Linked DNA regions of Oryzias latipes. The protein of the gene in region 1 purifies or fractionates together with the protein of each later gene. This does not show direct contact. Links are inferred from orthologs where the notes say so. Each region holds a gene or a part of one and is shown on either strand. Other genes may lie near its edges.

What was found. The genes of interacting proteins can lie anywhere in the genome.
Region 2: the proteins of hspa12b (region 1) and eef2k purify together in Homo sapiens (affinity purification with mass spectrometry; 3 studies listed by BioGRID and IntAct, with this or other methods). This does not show direct contact. The link is inferred for Oryzias latipes from reciprocal best matches to the Homo sapiens genes HSPA12B and EEF2K.

Annotation. Positions count from the first base shown.
Region 1 is NC_019876.2:13,102,066-13,109,438, forward strand, and holds part of hspa12b (heat shock 70 kDa protein 12B), read right to left. Parts: intron 4,529-7,373; coding exon 4,442-4,528; intron 1,773-4,441; coding exon 1,668-1,772; intron 1,175-1,667; coding exon 916-1,174; intron 848-915; coding exon 744-847; intron 1-743.
Region 2 is NC_019877.2:13,146,824-13,154,196, forward strand, and holds the end of eef2k (eukaryotic elongation factor 2 kinase), read right to left. Parts: intron 7,319-7,373; coding exon 7,191-7,318; intron 7,099-7,190; coding exon 6,903-7,098; intron 6,827-6,902; coding exon 6,762-6,826; intron 5,187-6,761; coding exon 5,109-5,186; intron 4,769-5,108; coding exon 4,712-4,768; intron 4,569-4,711; coding exon 4,503-4,568; intron 4,039-4,502; coding exon 3,907-4,038; intron 3,017-3,906; coding exon 2,828-3,016; intron 2,759-2,827; coding exon 2,634-2,758; intron 2,053-2,633; coding exon 1,874-2,052; intron 1,662-1,873; coding exon 1,552-1,661; 3' UTR 1,136-1,551; downstream 1-1,135. UniProt on the Homo sapiens protein: Threonine kinase that regulates protein synthesis by controlling the rate of peptide chain elongation.

The DNA of each region.
Region 1 (7,373 bases):
ATGAGATAAACCACATTCTAAAATTCAATGTAGATTTTCAAGATCAAAGTCAGAAATCTAAAAGAAAAAAGGAAAAATTCTGAGATGTATCTCTAAAATTTAGGATCTGATGGCTAAATTGTGGGATTAAAGTTGTTGTTTTTTTAATAAGAAAAAGTCACAATGTCAGAAACCCAAGATTAAAGTAATAAATCTTAGGGAAAAAAAGGTAAAATTGTCAGAAATTATACCTTTCCTTTAAATTTAAAGACAGAGGAAAATTGTGTTTTAGGTGTCTAATATGTTCTTCTGGTATTTTTCTGATGACGGAGGACAATTATAAAGATAAAATAAATTAAAAATTCAACTTCTGAGTGTTTCTGTGTTGCAATTCTTGAGAATCAGGAGCAGATTGAAAAATAGCTTTTTTTTTCATCTGGGTGGGCCACAAGTTCCCAGCAACAGAGAGGGGAAAAGGGGTGGGGGTTGCCCTGTGTCACTGGTCTCGCCCACAACTCAGAGATGGAATTCTAATAAACGTTTGTTGCTCTGCAGAAACAATGTCCAAAATGACAGGTTTAAAAAATGTGTTGTTTAAAAATGGCAAAATCATATTCAAAGACCACTGAGAACACTTTTAGTATAGTTAAAAGAACGATCAAAGGGGGTCTTTAAAACGAAGCTGAGCAGGGTAAATGAAGAACACTTCCCCTAAAGGTAAACACCTGTGTCTTGTGTGTGCATGTGTTGCGTCTGTTTCTCACCTATGTGTTTGACTATGTTGTTGATGGTCGGCTGGAAAAGTTCGTTCATGGCTTCCTGAGTGAGCCGCAGCATCCCCTGGGACGACCACTTCACAATGTTCATACTAACACACAAACACAGTGAGCAGGGGTGGGGTCACTGTCACACCCAGATGATGCTCCTCCCACTCACTTGCTCCTCCTCAGCGCTGCCTCCACGCTCTGGCCCCTTTGCCTCTTGTAGAAGTCGATGAAGGAGAAAGGCAGGGAGATGTTGAGGGCGTTGGCTCGGCCGGGCGACGCCGTCCGTTTTCTCGCCTCAAAAGCGATGGTGAGGTCCACCCAGGCCGCCGGCCGCTTCGCCTTGAAGCTCTGGATGAAGTCCTCCCCAAAGATCTGGCACAGCATGTTTTCAAAGGCCAGATCCACGCCAACAGCTCCATACGGGCCGCCTGGAGGTCAAACAAACCCAGCATTGGAAGCTGAAGGAGATCTAAGAAATCTAAGAAACCTAAGAAAACAACTGAATTTCAAAAAGCAGAGCATTCGCACTACAGAAAAGAAAATGTGTTTATCAAATTGTGGTGTGGATTTATGGAACGAATTGGATGAAGGTTTACAAATATTCAAAATAACCTACAAAAGATCACCAATATAAGGCCAGAAACGATTAAAAAACAAAAACTGTACAAAAAATGTAACTTTGCACAATTGCCATGCAAAAATTGTACCATGAACGTTTTGTACATATCTGTAAATTGAATTATGCACATCATCGGGTGTTGTGAAAAGGGGTGCGATCATCCAAGATTCCTTTTCAACCCACTTCTTTCCAAACACACTGTATGGTCTTATGTCTCTAAAACCACCATGTTGATTTTTTCATTTGTGTTTGAAAAAATAAAGAAACAAAATAAAGATCCTTTCTTAGAAAAGGCGTCGCACCCGAAGCCTTGTATAGTTCTTTGAGCGTCCCCTGCGGCTGCTCGATCTGATGGACTGTCAGGTCCACGGTTCCTCCTCCACAGTCGGCAACGACATACTTGTCACCTGCACAAGAAAAGAAGCAAAAACAAGCTTGTTAAACTTGTGCTTAAATGAAGGGATTTCTGCTGAAATGTGTTGAATCGCATGAAAACGGCAAACATTAAAGTCGGAGCAACATGTGTTCCTCAGGGGCCACCGGTCCTTACCCCCGCTGCCTCTTTCACCCTAAATCAGAGCTGCACGTGACAAATGCATGAAAAAAAACATTTTGGCTGCTTTTCTATTCTGTCTCCAAGCAACCATTTCATTTTTGGACAAGTCTATGTCATTTTTAAAAGAACTTACAAAAGTTAATTTTTTGGTTTCCTTGGCAACTGAGGTGTTTTGTTAACCACACCCACAGTTCATATCCTATGTCATATCCTATGTTTTGCACTTTCACAATATTCTGGTAAAAAATGTACGAGCAACAGGGAAACGCCAACCTTTGCAAGCGTGCCGTTCAAAATCTACAAACTTTATTATCAACGTTTTTTTTCTTCTTCCATGTAGCTTCCCAATGATGGATCAGTAGTGATGAGGTGATAGAACAAAACTCCTAGGAGGATTTTCATTTGTAGAAGGTGCTAAAGGTACATTTTTTTGGGGGATCCATCTTCCTAAGGTCAAAGGTCAACAAAACTTCAGCCATAGTTGTAGACTTAAGCCAGCAGGATTTGTATGAAATTTCATGAAGATCACTCAAACAAAAGATTTTTTTCCCCATATTGTGAAAAAAAGTGAAAATTAAAAATCATCAAAAAAAAGTGACTTGCACTTGCATGGCTTTTAAAAAAATTAATCCAAATTGGTCCAATGAATATTCAGTGGAGGGAGATGCTAAAAGGTGAACAACAACAACAATGGTCCACGAATCAAAACGTGAATCATCCAACTAACTTTGTGGTCCAAAGTACCATAGTCTGATTCTTTTTTACCAATATTTTTATTTTTCATTTGACATTTAAGATTATAAATGAAAATGCTGTTTAACAGAGAAAGTCTTTTTTCGCTGTGGATCACCTTTAGCCAATTGTAATTAACCTGATGTGGTGGAAGCTGGTTTGTGACGTCTGTTTGTTTGCAGCAGATGTACTGGTATATAAAAAGGCAAAGGCGAGCACAACAGGAAGAAAGCTTTGACTACGTCTCGATCAATTTGGACCTTTTTTACCAACGTGATCTCATTGGTATCTTTGCTTTTCTACCTATACTGCTGTTACTCCCCTCCCAGAACTAGATCGATTTTTTAATATGTACCTTTGACATCCTAAATATTCAGATTGAACTTTTATTTTAATACTTGATACTTATCAATAGTTTTTTTTTTTTTCCTGCGTTAGTTTGTTTAAATTAAACTTAATAATAACTATTTCTTTTAAAAGGCTGCTAGAAGTTGAAGCTGGGGTAACTATGGTGCACTGGGGTTCTGTCCTCTTTCCTTTTTTACTTCTACCCTTCCTCTCCTCTATTCTTGATCATAATTTATCATTTAGTTCTCCATGCCTCTGTTTGGTGCAGTGCGATTCATGTATTGTCCCTCTTTTCCTCTCCCCTCCTGGGGAGTGGGAGTGCTTCCAGACTCCAGTTGGCTCATCCGTGCTCCAGTTCCTGACCGTTTACCTCGCCTTTGCTCCTGCTCCTACACCTGGCTGTGGATCCTGCCTCTGGCTCATCTCTGGCTCGTCTCTGCTCTGTACCTGACCGAGTACCTCGTCTCTGCTCCTGCTCCTACACCTGGCTGTGGTTCCTGTCTCCGGCTCGACTCGCGCCTTTGACTGTCCCGATAACCACGGCTGGATGAAGCTCGTCTGCTGGACTTTTATATATGTAGTTGTAGATTTAGATAAGTTAATTCTTCTCTAAGATTTCTGGTAAATCGCCTGTCCGTCCTGGGGGAGGATCCCTCCTTCATGTGGGCACCCCTGAGGTTTCTTCGTTTTTTCCGGAATCCGGTTTTTTTGGGAGTTTTTCCTTACCGCGAAGGGGGGTCTAAGGGCAGGGATGTCAGTATAGCTTAGTCAGTTTGTTAGTTCATTTTAGTATTTTTCTATTGAACTCTTTGTATTCGTGATCCTTTTGATTTCATGTTTTACTTCGAAGCCCATCGAGACGACTGTTGTTGTGATTTTGGGCTATACAAATAAAATTGAATTGAATTGAATTGAATTTTACACTAGGTGGAGGCCTTTTGGTATTTTTTGCCTCTCCCATCACTTTATTGCCTTTCAATCATTGTCTTGCTTGTGTTTTAAATGTGCAAAAACAATAAATTAAACTAGACTTTCGTTTAATCCATCAGTTGTATAGGTATAGAGTCCAGAGGTGGGGGCTCCTTTCACCTTTTTACCTTTGTACCAGGGTTTTTCACATAATTCACTGCTGTCATTTCACAGGAAATTGAAAGATTTTATGTCTGCATTTTTGTATGTAGTTAGAATAATGTTGTGGTGGTGCAACATATTCTGCAAGTACGCAACATTTTTCAATATTATATTCTAAAAGATCTTCCAAACCAACAGCAGATCTTTCAGGAATGTCAACGGTGACTGAATCTGGATGAAATGCGGCGGCAGTCTTTTGTAGTTGCCCCCTTTTTCACCCTAGGCAGACGTGTGTGGCCCAAACAGTCAACAGGTCAAATTCATCTCCATCTGAAGCTTGAAAGATCCGTTGGAACTCTCTGAACTCACCGGTCTGCAGCTCGGACCACAGCTCTCCAGTGCCGCTTTCCACCAGGAAGGTCCTGCTGTGTCTGGATCGTCTCAGCTGCTCCCTCGCTGCACATACAAAACAAAACACCAAAAATAAAGCATCTTTGGTGTTTTTAACATGTTCTTGTTGTATTTTTTCCAATGATGGTGGACATGGATAAAGAAAATCAAGCTTAAAATTGCATTTCTGATTATGCCTTTATTCAAAATGTTATGAATCAGGAGCAGAGGAAAAAAGTGAGCTGTTAGAAAAAGCTTTTAGGTGTGAAGCAGAAGCAACTACGGTAAACCACAAGCTCCCTGCTTGAATACATTTCTAATAAACTACTGCTGCTCTGCAGAAACTAAGTCCTAGAAAACAACACAAGGTTTTTTGATTTTGGATTAATAATAATTAAAAGACCACTGGGAACTCTTTAATAACAGATCAAAAGATCTGTTATTATCTGAGGTAATAACTGTTACCTCCGATATTACCTCAGTAATAACTGAGGGAATAACTGTTAGGTATCTGAGCTAACAAAACAGTTATAGCTTGATGTCCTGTGCTCTAGCTTTTGGAAGGCAAACTTTGTTTTTTTTATGTCATCATGTAAATACTCAACAAACAAACATAGAATGCAAAAAAAACAAACAAAAAAACAACAACAACAACAAATGAAAATCAATACACTGTCTTGCTCTCTGTTTTAGGAAAACCGACCTACGGGGTTGGCTGCGAGTGGTAAGTAACCCAGCAGTCTTAATTTTTTCTGGTAGGACATCACACAGTTCACGCGCCGGATAGTTCATTTGGTTAAATATTTGATTGACAGATTTACTCGCTGTCAAGTGGTAGGGGTGCGGCTTTCCAACAAGCTCACTCCTGATTGGTGAGAGTTGTTGCCATGGAATCAATGGCTGAGACAGACATCTTACTAACGATGTCTGGCTCCAACATGGCAAAAAAAAGCAACTGTAATTCGATAGACTTCACTACTTTGGAGCAGGAGATAAGCTGTTTTCTATGGGTGATGTCACACTCACTTGGTCCATTTCTCATGTTAAGTCAATACACAAGCCTGTGTAAAATGCCTTGTTCTTGTGGTTTTTGGAACCAGTTTAGTGTCTGACCACATTTTGGTTTACCCCATCTGTACCTCTGCATCAGCTGTGAGCTGTTCTGGATTGAGGCCTTGGACCAGCCTATGGATTCCCCCTGTCTCCCCTCTCCTGAACTAGATCTTCACATTGGACTCTATCCTTTCACTCGCTTCAAGCCCCGTGCCAGATCTCCCCTCTGTCTTCTCCAACCTCTCATTTTCCTCCTTCCTACCACCTTAGTATAGTTTCTCAAGTTGGTGTTCATTAGATAATCTGAGAAATCCCAGACATAGATGGCTGTCTCTCTGGCCTCAAGTTCCTGCACGGCTCCAGAGCAGTCCACAACTAAACATCTGAAAATAAACTCGTTCTTTCCTTTTAATCTTTGCTCCTTGGGGTTCAGTTGTGTTGCACCTTAAATCCTGACAACATAGCTCGGATTGTGGTAGCTACGGTACTTGAGACTAAATATAAACACATATCTGTAAGAGCCTATTTTAAAGCCAAAAGAAAACATTTCTCTGTTTTGAAAGAACACATTTGTCAAGTTATTCTTGTTGTTGGCTTCTGAACAAAGAAACCCTGGTGGCCTCAGCATTTGTTGCAAAAGTTGTGCACGGTAGCAACTATGGCTTCTGTTGAAAGTGTGCTTGCATGGTTTAAGCTGCAGAGCAATTCACAGCTCTGTCAGGATCCTCTTCACCTCCCACACCTACAGGTTGACGATCTGCTCACGTGCTCCCTATCAGCTCATCAGTTCCACACAAGGAGCACTGGTCCACGCACCGTGTGCAGGGTTGGGGGGATTGAAAAAAATGAGAAATCCACATGACATGTCTGCGTCTCACCCACATCACCCTTACATGTTGCGTAAGTGTTTTCTACGACCTTTCGCCCGCAGCATGCTCGCAGAAAGAAATGTCCATGAACATTTTTGCTCTACAGGCTCATAAGCGCTTTACAACCTTAATATTTCCTGGAGGCCACCTGCATGGACCGTACAGGTTTGCCAATTTTCCACCTGCAGACAGCCCCTCTCCACACGTAAAGGCAGTTGTGACAAAGGAACAAAAATCAGAGGACTAATAAGAACTTCAGCTTTTCTAGCTGTTGATTCAAATTTGAATATCCACAACAATAAGATTACATATACAAAATATTGCCTCAACAAATAATTTCCTCCTGCTTTGCAAAGAAGTTGGCGTTTACAGTGGATGTAAGCGTTTAAAAACAATCAAAATGGACAAAATGCACATGTTTTTGACCCTTTTGGTTATATTTTTTTTAACCATTTTTCTTCATTAATGATACATTTTTACAGAAATTTGTGAGTGCTCTGCCATTCTGCAAGCACTCCAAGTCATCACCATCTTTCAGCATCCCACAATACTTTGCTGGTTTCCAAACATTTCGTGTAAAAACTCTAAATGTACCGGCCAGGCTCCACTGTTTGTTTGACTAAAATCTCCATTCAAAGCAGCTCAATCTGGAACATAAACAGCATCACTTTCAGCCTAATGAGGCCTTTCTAATCTTAACTTTTTTTTTTTTTTTTGAGGCACAGCACTTCCCTACACTTCTGCTTGGAGTCACATAAATCTTTGGATCTGAGTCAAACAAAAGCAAGGAATGTGCTTTTGCATGACAAGAGCGTTTCGCTGGCGATGGAGACCACCTTAGGCTTTGGTTTGCTTTATACAGACACCCAAGCCCTTTGATTGACAGCTGAGAGTGTGGACCAAGCTCCAACAAAAACACATCACCATGACAGTCCGTTTAACAGAGCCAATGCATGAAATGTGACATGATGACTTCCAAAAATGAACAC
Region 2 (7,373 bases), on another chromosome or scaffold:
GCCATGTTGTTGGTTTAAAGCAGAGGTCTGCAACCATCAACACTTAAAAAGCCATTTGACCTTTTATGTGTTGGAGTAGTAGGAGCCACAAAGTCTTTAGGAAAATTTGATATTTGCTTTGCATTCATTACTTTGTTATTTTTGTAATAAATATGAATTACCGGTATATTAATTTTTTGACTTGAAAAAGCACAAATACCCCTTGTGCTATCCTATGGGGTCAAGATGACCATTGACGTGTTCTCCCTACCATGACAAAGGTGGATAAAGGTGAAGAGGATTTCATGTAATCCATGGACACCAGTGAAGATCACAAATCATTGAAGAATCTTGTGGGGTCTAGATGACCCAACGCCCAATGTTAAAGTGCCTAGGATTGCACAACGGATTCAAAGAAAAACTTGCGTTTTCTCAAAATGTGAAATTGTTTTTTACTTTTCACAGAAGCTGGCATGTTTTCCTTTTAAAATAAAAGACTTCCTGTGCCAAACCGGATTATCCTGGAGCAGCTAACGGACTCCTATAAAAGGTTTAAACAATTCAAGGCAAAAAGGAAATCTTCTCTTGTTATACCGTAGGTCTATTTTGGTGAGTCGTCATTATTTTTCTTACTTACTCCTGCTGTTAACCTGAACATAAACACAACTCAATTAGTTTATGATTTGATAGAAAGAAAAAGGAAAAAATTATGCAGCCTAAGAAAATATGCGATTTAAGCTCATAAACTGAGAAATCAGAAAAATATCCAACTTTTCAATCAATATATTTTAAATCAGTGCACTCTGGAGGAAGAGTAGAACAATCAAGGCCTCAGGATGTCAGCAGGAATATAAAAACCTTTACATAGTTTATCTTCTATCGTTGCACCTCAGCTATAAATTCATAAACTTAACTAATCTAAATTAAATCAATCAAGCAGATTGAGATGGTTTGTTGAAGATTTTGGAGTCCCAGAAGATGAGCAAAACAGAAGAATTATGGATGTAGTCCATGACTTTTTTTTGTGTGCTTTGGTTTTATTGAGGAAGATGAAAAGGAGAGATTTTATAGAAAATTCAAAAGTGGCTTTGTTTCTCACAGAAACTACAAATAACTCAATTACAAATGAAGGGAATGATCACAAAGGAAGCATGGCTCATATAAACCAATGCAAACTTTATTTTTAAATTCTTGTACATATTTTGCACATACATCTTTCAGACATAAATGCATAAACGTTTATTAAAGAAAGATAAGTAAACAGTCTTCTTTGTTCCATTTTTTTTGTAAATAACCTTTTTTTTTTTACACAACCGTATTCATTTAAATTAACCAAAGACAGGAAATGAGAGAGAAAAGAGGTCAGGATGATTACTTTCACATTTGAAGAGATAAAAAAAAACAAAACAAGAATGATCATCAGCGGCTTAGCACTCACTCACACACCCAAACCGGCAACAGCAAAAATTCTGCCATAAAATTTATATTATCCAAAATCATTCAAGCGTTAAGCTAAATTAATTAAAAAATAAGCGACAAAAAGTCAAACAGAAAATATTGCCACCTCTTTAGTTACTCCTCAACTTCTGCCCAGGCCTCTTCAGCTTTCATGTAGTACTGGTTGGCCAGGCGACCTTTCATGGCCGCCATGGCGGCTTCTGCAGCCTCTGTGAACAGGTCACCTGCAGAGACACAAAGGGAGGGAAAATGTTACAGACGCAGGTCACAAGACTGACTAAATGACCATAGCTATGAGTGGAAGTCTGTACATATGAAGCTTTGCATTCACACAGTAGCAGGGTTGTAATAACGTTTATTCTGTTCCCTTCAGATTGGAAATATCAAAGTCTCTCTAGAGTTTTTGATATTCTCCCTTAACAGTCTGGGCTCAGACCTGCTCTCTGAGGGTCTGCAGCCAGGTTGTGGCCCCCCTTCTGGTACATTTCCGCTTCTCTGGCCAGCAGCAGGTATCGCGGCTCATCCTGCGTGCCGTCGAACTCCCCGCCTTCGTCAAAGTCCGACATGTTCAGCGCACTGTCGTACCAGTGAATTGCTTCAGCCCAGTCTTGTTTTCTGCAGGAAAAAACAAAAATAACTTATTACAAAAAAAAAAAAGTGTGAAAGTATAAAAATCATTAATCATAAAAACTCTACAACCCCAACAGAGGGCAGTGTTTCACCACTTCTGTAAAGCTACATTCACACGTGTCTGCTTCCACTGAAAAGTCGATGTAAACGTGCATTTCGGGCTTCCGTAGCTAGAACCATTTCAGGTCAAAACACGCGGCCATTGAACGCACATTGCAAGTTAAACCAGGTTGAACTTTGACCAATCAGAGACTCAGGTTTGGAAGTGACGTGTGGATGGCATCCCTTTTAATTTGTTTCAAAATTGATCATGGAGGAAAAATAATAGTTGTGGTTAGTGTCTGACTGGAATTGAATCTTTCATGCATTGGAATAAACATGCTTTAGTAAACACAGAAAAAGGAAGGAAAAAAAAGGAAGCCCCTCCCTGCTAGCTCAGTATGAACACTATGAGCCAGGCGCGTGTTCAAGAACGAGCTAAATATGTTCTCTTGTTTACATTCCCGGTGTGTCCGCAGCTTCGCAGGACTCTTTTTCTTGAGTTCTGAGCATAAATCCAAACTGACCTGTCAGCCGACAGATTGATTCCACTATCAAAGGCTCTGGCCACTATGATCATGGAGGATCTGTCTCCAGCTTCAGCGGCCTGCAGCAGATATTTGAAACCTTTCATCCGGTTCCCAGCGTTGTCCTGCCAACAAACCAAACCTGTCAGAGCTGTAACCCCTAACAGGAGGCCCAGCGGTAAAATTCAGCTTACCTCCAACTCCATGTCAGGCAGTATGTGATGCGGTAACCGGAGGTAACACTGTCCTAAGGCTACGATGGCCTCCAGCTCCCCACACAGCGCCGCTCTCTCCAGGTGGAACATGGCGGAGCTCTCATCCCACTGCTCGTCCTTCTCGCAGAAGCGCCCCGCTTCGTGGTACCGGACCATGGCCAGATGGACCTGAGAGGTCAAAGTAGTAAAAGGTCAAAAACACTTTCAATCAGGATTTGACACAAGACTTTCTGAACAATTTTAACAAAACGCCGATTTTAACAGCTGGGTTTTAAATTTGTTTTTCTCCCCTCAAACGTCTTTGTATCATTTATAAAAAATATTTATATAAAGAATAAGAATCAGTTTGTGTTATTAATCTTTAAATTTGAGGAATTCTACTTTCATCTGTTTCTATATTAATAGGTACATTTGTTGATTTTATTACAAGGTGTTCTGTTTGGTGAGTTTGCTGTAGATGTGTGCGTCTTTAGACATTTGCCTCCACTTGAAAAAACATTTCCCATATTTACATTTTTAGTATTTAGTTTTCTTTCTTTTACGATTTTTGTATTTCTAATTTACATGCTGTTGTTTGCACTTTATGCTATTAATTCTGATCTGCTTAATGCGTTTTACATTTATTTTTTCCACTACAGATGATGGCATAGCCTTAACTTACTGTTGTGTCGTTTAACTAAAGTAGTTGCTAGGCAACCTCATTAAAATAGTAATAAAAAAATAACATTTGTTTGAACCATGCTGTTTAAATAATGCATAAATGGAAAACATGAACTATTATTCGATGAATGCTTTACAATACAGATTTTTAACCCCAACAATCCATTTTTACTTGAAATTTCTAGAAAATTTGAGCATTTCGATGGATCTTTTGGATTTGTTTTGCAACAAAAAGTTCATTTTGTTTGAAGGAAAACATCTCAAGATGCTCTAATGACTGTATATAACTTTATTTGAGATAAAAATAGAAAAAAATGCTTCGTCTTTTATCATATATTTGTTTTTTTTTTTGCAGTAGTATTTCCATCAGAGCTAATTGATTTTTTTCAGGCTCCTACCTTTCCCAGATTTGACTGTCCAATCTTTTTCTGCAGCAGAGTGTTGAGGCGCTCCACTTCTGTCGCCACACAGGAAGGGCGGTGGACATGAGAGCGAGACGAATGGAAGAAGCTCCATTTCTCATCTGTCAGCTGGAGTGAAAACAGATGGGAGAAAAGATGGAAGAAGATTTTTTTTTAAAAAGTAATCACCCTTTTTAGTCATCAGATAATTACATCCCACTCTGGGGCACACCCATCCAGCTGGAGCTTTAACAGAGAGATGACACAACACTTCAATCATGTGACATGAAGTTGTAAGCAGCATGACGCACAAAAAACACACAAAGCTGGTACCTGTCATTAAAAATGGAAAATTTGCTCAATTTGAGGTAGATGCTGTTTCAGCTCCAAATATATTTTGGTTTCTCTGAAAATTTGAATATGTTTTTTACAAGCTACAGATTGACAAAAGCTGACAAGGAAGCAGCAGCAAATCAAAAAAATAGTGTACATCTTAATGGATTTTCCAGCAAACATAGAGCTTGAGAGGAGCAAAATGGCACAGAGCTGCTTCCAAAGCAACTACTTTTAAAAGCCTCCGTGCAAATAATCACCGCTTCATAGATGGGACTGCATGAGTTAAAGTTTGCAGAGACTCTTGGAGGAGCTACCATCTTCTTCTGGTGAGGAGAAAATGAAAAAAAATGGGGAACTAAGTTAGAAGAAAAAAAGGCTTGAGGAGGTGATGAGGAAAAAAGGAACGATAGAAAGGTGATTGATGATTATGGCCGAAGAGGGAGGAAAGATCTAAAAACTTGTTTACCCGTCTGATACTGTCCTCATCCGACTCTGAGTAAGGTCTGTGGTAGCGCTGGTGCACCTATGACAATATATGACATGCATCACAAAAAACGTCCTGCCCTTAAAGCTGGTATGAGTTAAGAACCTGGAAAAGAGTCTAAAAACTTCAAAAAGTGAAGAAAAGTTAGCCTGACACAATATATTTTGATCATGTGGAGTATTTCTACAAGTTTAAGTAAACTTTCTAAATTAATTAAAAAAAATTAGCTTTAAATATACATTTAGGCTTTTCAAATGTCTTGATAAAAACAAATTCTACCATAAAAAAAAAGAATTTCAGTGCATTTTTGAGGTTCAGCCAGTAAAACCCCAGGATTGGTTCAGCTGTAATTAAAAAAAAAGGATGCATAGATGTTTACCCCATCCATGTGGTCGCTGGAGTCTGGTTCGCTCCTCCTCTCACTAGGGTAGCCGCTGTCTCCACCGCTTTCTGATTCCTGACAAAACAAAAAATGAAATAACAACTGAGAACTTGTAAAAAAAAAAAATCAAACATAAAACCTAATTATTATTAACCTAATTGTTTTCTCCTGTTGGATTCTTGGCAACAAACTCATACACAAAGAGGCACCTGTTGTTGCCATCTTCCGCCACTTGGTGGCAGTGTTTACAATTTATTCAGATATGTTACTACATGAAGGTCACATGAAAAAGAACGATGTAGTTTGCAACTGATATTCAGTGTTTTTTTTCCCTTTACGTTCAAAACGCGCCTCAAATAACAGCTTTATGCTTTGACAGGAAAATTATAAGACAGAAAGACACCCACAAAAGTAGGTTAAAGCCCCCACCAGATAACATTTTTGCGGTAGTTTTGTGACTCAGAAAGAGATAAAAGTCACAGCAGACAGCAGATTTGTTTTGTGTGAACAAAGTGTTACACAAACCGTGCTGCTGGCTGAGAGCTTTGTCTGCAGCACTCGTGAACGCACACATTGTTGTGCTGGCCTCATGTGATGACCGCATTTCAGCAGATTAGCAGGGGGCCTGTACGTGTTGTGCAAGAAGAGCAAACTGCTTGTTGGAGGAGTGTAAACAAATGGATCTCTGTGAGCTCGACACGGGTTGAACTGCCATAACCCCTTTGTTTGAGTAGGAAAAACAATGCAAATAAGAGACCGTGAACCCAACCTGTCACAGCAACTATCATTAGAATATTGCATCAAGGAACAGATTGCAGGATCCCTCAGCAAAAAGTAGTCTATTACATGTACTACAAGTATACTTAGTCAATACTAAAAGTGAGGCAGTATTCTTAAAGTTTAGTTTTTATATTTCATTTGTAAATTTAAAATGTGCCAATTTATTCTGTATTCAGTTAGTATTTTTTCAGTAAGTATTTTTTTCTACACTACAAGCACATGATCTATAGTATACTTGCTATGGTAAAAATGTAAAGCGGTCAACCTCCCATCAGAAGATTGATGGTTCAGTTCCTGCAACATGTGTGTTGAAGTGTCCTTTGGCAGGACAACAACATTATTCCTGACGGTTTAAGGTTTGCACCAGCATGAAGTCAGTGTTTGAATATGTGTGCATGAGTGAATGGGGCTGTGATACTTAATAAAATCAACTTTAAGTGTACTACTTATTCTTACGGAATGCAGTGAAAAACTTGCATGGGATAAACCTTAATATTTTGGTTTGCTCTCACAAAACTGCTATCTAAACGCACATGAAACCATTACTGAGCTCCAGTACTTAGACAAAAACAATTAGAATCAAACATCATTACTAATATTAAACAAAAATCATAAACTGCATTAAGTCGCCTTTTACAAATCGAGGCCTGACCAACAAAAACACTTCTTAATCTGACATGAGGGCAGATAATTAGTTTATTTTCTGTGAGATTAAACATAATTTTCTGCTGGTGGTTTGTACTTCCAGGAAATTCATTTCATTTTGTGCCTCCTTTAGTTCTGTGCTGTTTGTGAATTTTGTGCTTTTTAGAGTATTTTTTTCTTTTTTTAAAACCAGCTAAAAATCTCTGCAGGTCAGTTAGAACTCACCTTGTGTTCCCCTTGGTTGTTATTGCTGAATCGTTCATGTTCATTCATTCCAGTAAAAGATAAGCCTGGAAAATGCATTAAGGATTCAAACATTTATTCTCAGCTGGATGTGCTAACGCTAAATCACATAGAGTGACTCACCCAGAGATCCGACTGCTGTGAAGGGGGGATTAAGAGGTGAACAGGGGATGGACTCGGCGTCGCTCATGCTCTCGTCTGCAGATGACGTCTCGGACAGGCGAGAGAAGAGCGGCGGCGCCCGGCTGGCAGACCAGGTCCGAACTCGGGGCGAGCCGCACTGCTCCTCGCAGCCCCTCAGCACCGTCTGTGCGCTTTTCTTAAAACCAAAAAATAAAGAGAAAGAGAATTAACAAACCTCAGAACACAACCCACTGTTCTTGCACTGAGTTTTAAAACGTTTTGAATTACAAGAAGTTTGTTGGTGCCGTCCAGCTGGGACATTTCTTCCGGGGAAAGGTCGAACGGCGTCAGGCCCATGCTCTTGCAGATCTTGTTGCACATGTGGGAGTGGAAGAACAGAGCCATGCCCCGCACACCTGGAACACAGGTCTTCTCAGATCCCATCTTCCTGGCCCACTATAGTTCAACAGC